Linked DNA regions of Lytechinus pictus. The protein of the gene in region 1 binds, or shares a complex with, the protein of each later gene. Links are inferred from orthologs where the notes say so. Each region holds a gene or a part of one and is shown on either strand. Other genes may lie near its edges.

The links.
Region 2: mediator of RNA polymerase II transcription subunit 13-like (region 1) and mediator of RNA polymerase II transcription subunit 12-like protein share a complex: the UniProt entries of both Drosophila melanogaster proteins name them as parts of the cdk8 module of the Mediator complex. The link is inferred for Lytechinus pictus from reciprocal best matches to the Drosophila melanogaster genes skd and kto.

The regions. Positions count from the first base shown.
Region 1 is NC_087246.1:19,873,193-19,877,122, reverse strand, and holds the start of mediator of RNA polymerase II transcription subunit 13-like, read right to left. Parts: upstream 2,459-3,930; 5' UTR 2,416-2,458; coding exon 2,274-2,415; intron 1-2,273. UniProt on the Drosophila melanogaster protein: Component of the Mediator complex, a coactivator involved in the regulated transcription of nearly all RNA polymerase II-dependent genes.
Region 2 is NC_087260.1:27,736,799-27,740,728, forward strand, and holds the start of mediator of RNA polymerase II transcription subunit 12-like protein, read right to left. Parts: upstream 2,599-3,930; 5' UTR 2,498-2,598; intron 1-2,497. UniProt on the Drosophila melanogaster protein: Component of the Mediator complex, a coactivator involved in regulated gene transcription of nearly all RNA polymerase II-dependent genes.

The DNA.
Region 1 (3,930 bases):
CTCGACATATGCTCTTAAGACTCATCAATAAATAATAATGCCTCAATAGAACATCACATAATTCTTAATGAAGAAATAGATTCTGATCAATTTCTTGGACAAATGTGGAGGCCACGACAGAGGTACAAAACTTAATATATTAGAAGTTATTGATCTCATCCACCCCTTTGCATAATATAAACGAATCTGCCTAAATCTCTCCATTCCCTTTGGTAATAAGTCTGTTAGACTTAGGTGAAAAAATATTAATAGGAAAATAATGTACTCTTTGCATAATTTGGTCTTAAAACCTGTTTTGACTTTCGTAATTATTCTACTTTTGGAAGGATGACTTGTTGACTGTATTATTAAAAAATGCTTTAATTAGGGGAAAGTTTGCAAGCAAAGTTTACTGTCATTTTAATTGAAATTTCAAGACCCTAGGGTATACTCCAAAGAGTTGAAATAGACTCATGAAATTGAAATTGAAATTGATCTCAAATTGTACGGTGTAAAGATAAGAAGTTGGATTTTAACCAATATAAACTTTTTGTAAGACTGGGCCCGGAAATGTTTCAAATTAAGTTGTATATGTGTTTGTACTGGCTTCTGACAGAACTATGGAAACCTCTGTTTCTTCTTTTTCTTTTTCTTTGATAGGTGTCTTTATCTCTAATGTGTACGCAACTGGAACATTATGCATTTACCTGATCAATTTTCACAATCAATCTATCGGTGCAGTGTAGCAGAATATCATCTGCATAACAATCTAATTTGTGCATAATCCTGGTAGTAATAAATCTTCATGAACACATAATTCCTTTTCTTCATGGTCGGGTTGCACAAGCATTTGAATATTTCCCATGCACCACAAAATCATCAATACTTAATGGCATCACAGACATTTCCTACTTCACAGATGGTACCCTCATTTAGTCTAGTTGCAGTCTGAATTTGAGACTATAGGAGATGAGTTTGAAATGTGTTCTAAAGCTTCTCCAAACCTACAAGGTACATGTAAATTGAGAAAGCAAGTAATCATGCTAGACTTGTTTCCAAACCCATTTGAAACTATGTCGGCCTTGTCACCATTCTTTTAGAAACCAAAAATGGATATAAGCCTTTTTAGCTCTAAATTTAGAACTGATCCTAGTCTCTTCACTGTTTCCTCTTCATTGTAATGACACAGAGTGTGAATCAAGTGCTCTCTAGCACTTCTATAACATCTGTGCATTTAAAACAAAATATGGTTAATGGGACAAACAATAGAGAAATAATTATAAAGTGAATGTTTGCAACATATGCCATTACTTTATCTTGGAACACAGAGACATAATGTCATCTCTTAATTAGACAGTATGACATCATGCCATTGTACTATGTGTCAAGCCTTTTTTTCTGTCCCCTAACACCCCCCCCCCCCCACGCTGGTTAATCCTGACCGCCCATTTTTTTTATTGCAGTTAAACATTTCTCAAATAAATGCAATGCCTCGGGCCTAGGGACTAATAATCCAATGCAGTCAAACCTGCTTTTAAGACCACCTGTCTAAAAAGACCATGCTCTGCTTCCCTCAAATTGTATTATTATAATTATTAGTGTCCAGAGAGACCATTTGCTCAAAAAGGCAACTTTCCATCTATACATTGGGTGGTCTTTAAAGACAGGTTTCACTACAGATAGACCTAAAGGTTTCACTCAGTGCAAGGTATCATTACTGCCTGTGGTATACATGTAATACAATGACTGGACCTATCAATTCAAAAGGTTGGTGGTCCATGGTGTATACCACGTATTTACACTTTGAACAAAGTATTATACATATCAATGTCTAAGAAAGTTAAATCAATATACATTTTCTTATTTTTGTGCTGATTTAACTAGTTGATTAATATCATATGATCACTGGAAAAATGAGCTCACAGAACTTCATACATATCCGAGCTTGAGCAAAGCAGCCTTTATTTATAATGCCACCATCTCGAAAGGACGTTGACACATTAGTACTTCATTATCACTCCTCTCTAGATGATAAGGACCGATTTGCGATATGTCATTCACCATCTCCAACCCATCAAGTGGCGAATTTTCACCCATAAGCAGGGTAAGAATTTTTTTTTGGGGGGGTGAGAGGGTTTTGGTCAATTTTTTCTTTTCTTTTCTTCACTTAGGTAAATCTCTAAATTCTAACTAACGTAACTGCTAAAATAGCAAGTTGTTCGTGATTTGGGTGATTTTCTTTGTTTCATTATTTTCTTTGGGGGGATTCTTTGCATATAAGTAAGTATACTGACCAGGAGTTGCAGGTCCATTGATCTTGCCATGCCCTAGCCCCATGGAGGGTGGTGGGATGTAGCCACCAGCCTGAACAGCCATCGCATGGTGATGGGAGAACTCGCTCTGAGGTACCAGCACATAGCAGCTCGGATACAGCATGCGGATACCGCCCGTAAGGTAGCCATCCGTTAGATAACTCCCTGCAAGGGGGAGGGGGGGAAATGGTGGTGGAAATGAAAGAAAACACTCAAGCTAAACATAAGGGTTTGTATACTGTAATGTACATCAAATATGTTACAAAGTTTTATAAAAGTGTTACTATAAAAACATTGATTCTAAAAATCTTGAAATTTTTCAGCTTTTCATGTTGGCATTTAAAAAGACGTAAAATGATAATTCATACAACAGACGAAAATAGAATGAATGCAGTTGTGATTTAATTATCTGTAATTCTAGGGTAAAAAAATGATGATTTAAATATAATGCAGCCGTAGACCCCTGTTACATCTGAGAGATTCCCTACCTCGGGCCGGCCCGGGGCCTACCTCGGGTCGGAAAGAAATCAGATGTAAACATCCCAAACCTACCTCAGGCCACCTTTTAGCGAACCTACCGGAGACCACATCCAGAGGTAGTCTCGGGTAAGTATCGGGCCGGCCCCGGTCCACCGATTCGTAGATGTAAACGCACACCAGCTTTCGAACCTATCTCGGTCCGTTCGCCAGCTGTCAAATTACGTCATAGCGCGCGCTATCCCCTCCCCAGCCCCGTCGTTCTTCGAATGTTTTGCGGCATGCGACATGTGAATTGTGATTGATAAAGTCTTTGATTTGAGTGGAAAGAAGGAAGCATTCTAAACGTATCCTTTTCAAGTCGATCATATCTTCAACGACTGCTGGGATCATCAGCATTCTTCCAGAATCTCGGGTAAAGGTAAAGAGTCGTTTCGACTCTCTGGAAATGATCGGCACATGTCCCACCCTGTCATTTTTGTGTAGCAGCCGACTAGTGTAACGAAATGTAAACAACTTCAATTAGCGCGCGCAAATTATTCAGAGCCTAGATCGAGAGCGCCCTTTGGTGTCAGCAATCGGATACCGCTCGAAACCGTACCGATAGGGGAGGGAATGAACGCTGTGATGTAAACAGACCACATTTCGGACTCGGTCCGTTCGCGAAACTAATCCACCAATAATCCAGTCAAGGTTGCAAGTGGACTCGGTCGGGTCTCGGGTAGGAAACTTTCAGATGTAACAGGGGTCGTAGTCATCTTACAGGGGCCAACAGGCTTCAGAAGGCAAAAGGTTAAGAAAGATTATAGGATAGAAAAGATCATTCTTAAAATAGCTTAAAATAGCTAACACGTATAAAAAATAATTACACACCCAGCATACATGAGATACAAAATATTGTGAACACTTGCATTGGATATATATAATTTTAATAGCATGGTTAACCTCATTTATCTGGCTAAGAAAGCTTAGATAATGAGACCACTGAACAGCTTGAAAGCTGAAGAGAAAAATACATGTAAAAACAAGCTTGAATAAGAATGTGGATTGGATTCAGAGGCTAAACATTGTAACAGACATTATAATCACACAAGATATTTAAAGGAAGATAAGTGGAAAGAAATGTTGGGCTACATTGGTATTCAGAAGCACACAATATAAT
Region 2 (3,930 bases), on another chromosome or scaffold:
TTACATACGCATGAAATGAAGCTACTAAAAATAAACATGATGATTTAAACCCAAAAATATTAATTAGGCATTTTACCCCCCCCCCCCACACACACCTTAACAATTTGACTATACATGTAGGTCTTTGTGATCTAATTTTTCATACAGCCATGAATGTATTCCTTAAACAAATTCTTTTCTAGTAAAGTTTCATCATGTAATATTCTCAGCTTTGTGGCCCAGTGGATTAGTCTTCTGACTTTGAAACAGAGGGTCATGGGTTCGAATCCCAGCCATGGCGTAATTTACTTCAGCAAGAAACTCATCCACATTGTGCTGCACTCAACCCAGGTGAGGTGAATGGGTACCCGGTAGGAAGAAATTCCTTGAATGCTTGAGCGCCTAGGCAGCTCAGCTAAGGCCGGGGTAATGATAATAGCAGGGCCCGCTGGTAGAACAGTTTTCGAAACTGAAGTGGCTACCCTGGGTAACCCTGGGTAAATATACCTATATTATTATATTATTATTATAATCAATATTCACAGCCTCCCCCTTGCAAAAAAAGAGAAAAAAATCAAGAGAAAGCATTGTCTTTTGCGCTGTCTAAAGAAGCTACATGTAACTTGATACAAGAGTGGACTCCTCTTCAAATTTTGAAGGAGAATCCAATATCTCAAGTTTAAAATGATATATTTAATTTGAAAGTGGTTCAAGTAGGTTACGAAAAGTGCACTAAAATTATCCTGGTACTCGTACTACTACATGTATGTTTTATTTAACGACAGGCAACCATGGTTCAGATACAGAAAGTATTGTATTATGTTACCCACATGAGCCCAAGTACCCGAACTTGCCATACACATTAATCCATTTACACAATTTATGACATGTAAAGAAGTGAGTTATATTGGCTTAAGGACGTTCCTCAATTATGTTTGTGCGCATTATGATCTGCGCATAGTTTACACTCTGCGCGCTGACGTCACAATGGATGAACAGGTGATTAATTAGCTGCGGGTATGAGCTGATTTTTCTCATCTTCTGCACTTTAACTACGTTATTTCATGAAGCTAAAAAATCGAATTATTCCATGGACCATTCAAAAAAGTATTCTTTACGATTTCAAAATATTTTTCTCTGTAGTGCTGCCAAGAATCACGAATATTACCCCGAGTTTGAATAAATGGTAGAGTGGTTTTGATTTTTACTTCACATAGATACTAAGCATTCGGCGCATTTTTGGTGTTTTAAAATTCACATTTACTCTAATAAAAATGCTGATAGTTTAAAAACAAGCACATGAACCCCTATTTTTTAATGTTTGTACCTCTTAGGTATACCTTCCTCTACAACTCTGCAAATTTTGGTGAAAATGACATGGATTTTGAATAAAGTGCAGCATTTATTGTACGTTTGTAGTTTGTTACTGAAATTTTACATTTTTTAGATTAGGATTTTGTTATCTTTTACGCCATTTTTAAGAACTGACAGTGGTGTTAAACTTAAAATTGCGAACAAATAGCACTATAAATAGATTCTCCATTTAACGACACAATTATCAACCCTCTTGCGAAATTTGATGACTTTTTCATGTATTTTGACTGGAGTGAGTAATAGAGGTTTAAACTCATTGTAGTAATCTTGGGCGGTCTAAAAATGCCAAATTCTTTTGAATGCGCAATTCTTAAGAACATCAATTTGGGTGAACTTTGAAGCTCTATAGCAAAAAATCAAGCACATGGACCTCTGTTAATTTTTGCATATTTCGAATATTAAGGTTCTGAAGTATCTATGTGCAAAGTTTGGTGAAAATGACATGGATTTCACTTTAACTGTGGAACGTCCTTAAAATGGTACCCCCAAAAAAAACAAAAACATAATGATTTGTGGAAATGGGACAGGACAATATAAGCTGGGTTCTAAAAGAAACTGATCAAACTTTACTAGGGTACTGCACAAATTCCACTTGGTCAAAATGAACAATATTTTTACACAGGCTAGCTTCAATAATCTTTACTACATGTAAGCACATGGTTCAATCACAGATAATATATATATATACATGCACATGTAGCCCTCACATGTATTGGTTTCAGAATCTAAAGTCACAAAATGGCAAAAGAAAGACCAATGAAATGAGATGAAATGGAATTAAACAAACTTCCAAGTTTATTACACATGTCCTTCACAGGCATGCTCAAGTGATTGGCTTGATCACAAAGTAGCTATGTACAGGAAGTTAAAAACAAAATAACTGGAACAATCGCACACCCACAGACAGATCCCAACGGGGAGGGGGAATAAAGAAAAAAATAAATGAATAAAAAAGAAACAAACAATATGAAATGAATTGAATCAATACATCAAAATTGAAGTACATAATTTGAGAATGAAGTGATAAAATGAAAGTACACAAGCAAATGAGTATCTAGCCCCTCCCCCCAGAACAAAATGCAATTAACAAACAAACAAAAGTAGAAAGAAATCCTACAAATACTCGGCTTTTCATAATACTTACAAGAACAAAGTTGTCTTTGGATATTGGCTGCCTTTTCTTTCCTGTATCTTGAAAAGTGTTGAGTTTCTGCTTCTCTGCTACTATTGCACTAAAATACACACCAAACTAAAAAGAAAGAAAAAAAATCAATGATAAGCACATTAATTAATCTTTAACAAATACCAGTAAACTTTTTTATGAGTTTACTGGGAACAATGAAAACACAAAACAGAAAAGACAATTGAATAGACTTTGCAATGTCTAGACTTTATGGAGAGGTAATAATGAAAATATAAAATATAAAAAAGAGAAAAGAAATAATCATCCCTAGACTTTATGGAGGAGTGATTTTTGAGCATGTACGTGTTTTAAAGAAATTCAGACATGATAGGACATTGCAAAAATGGCTATATATGAAACAGTAATGAGAGTAATAAATTTCACTGAATTTCTTCTAGAGTGTACATAATGTACTTGAGAAAACCAGGCATTACATCGTACATTGGGTGTATTCAGACCAACTTAATCACCAGAATACCCAATAAATTATAAAAACTTGTTCAGGCTAAAATATACAGGATAATTATTTTCTGCATTCGCATCAACCAGAAGCAGACACTTTCAGGGGTAAGTTATTGAAGTTTTAAAGCATCCACAGTATGGTCTAATTAGCATGATTCCAAATCACTAGGTATGCAGCCAAAGGAGCCAGCGACCAACTACTCGTCAAGTTGAGAAACTTCTTGTAATCTGCTTTTACACTGCAAAATTACCTGCAACCTTGGAAAAAAAAGAGGGTATTTTTCTTTCAGGAATATTAATTTAGAGTACAGGTAATTTGCTTTCACACTGCCAAAGATACCTGATATTTTCTGATCAGCAAGATCACAGTAAATTTCATGATCAGAAAATTCCTGGTATTCTCGAACTTCAGGCTGTCTGAATGTGCCTTTGTGTATAAAGGTTGCGTTCACTCACTGCTTTTTTACCCAATCTTTTCAAGGACATCTACCACAGTTGTGTCCAATCAATTTTCTGTTGGATGTGGGAATATATGGACTTCTTCCAAATTGCAAACATGAAAGTAATGAAAAAGAGGCCGTTCTCATTACGCTTTCTAAAACTAGTTTACTGGAAACCGATTCAGGATACCACTTTGGAAGATCGCTTTGCTAGCGTTCCCACTTGATCACACGAAAGTGGTTTTCAAAATCACTTCACGTAAAGCGCTCTTGTTGCTATGGAAATGCTCTCAGTGGGGTGACACGTTTCACGCGAAATTCGAAACCGCAGCATGGGCATTCTACACCTGTCGTGTGGAGTAGCGCGCTCAAAATGTGCGAAGATCGCTTCCCGAAGAACGGTTGTGTCCTCACTTACGCTAAAACCAGTTTAACGAGGCAAAGCGATCTTGAAAACTACATCGCGAGGTAGTTTTCCAAACTGGTTTGGAA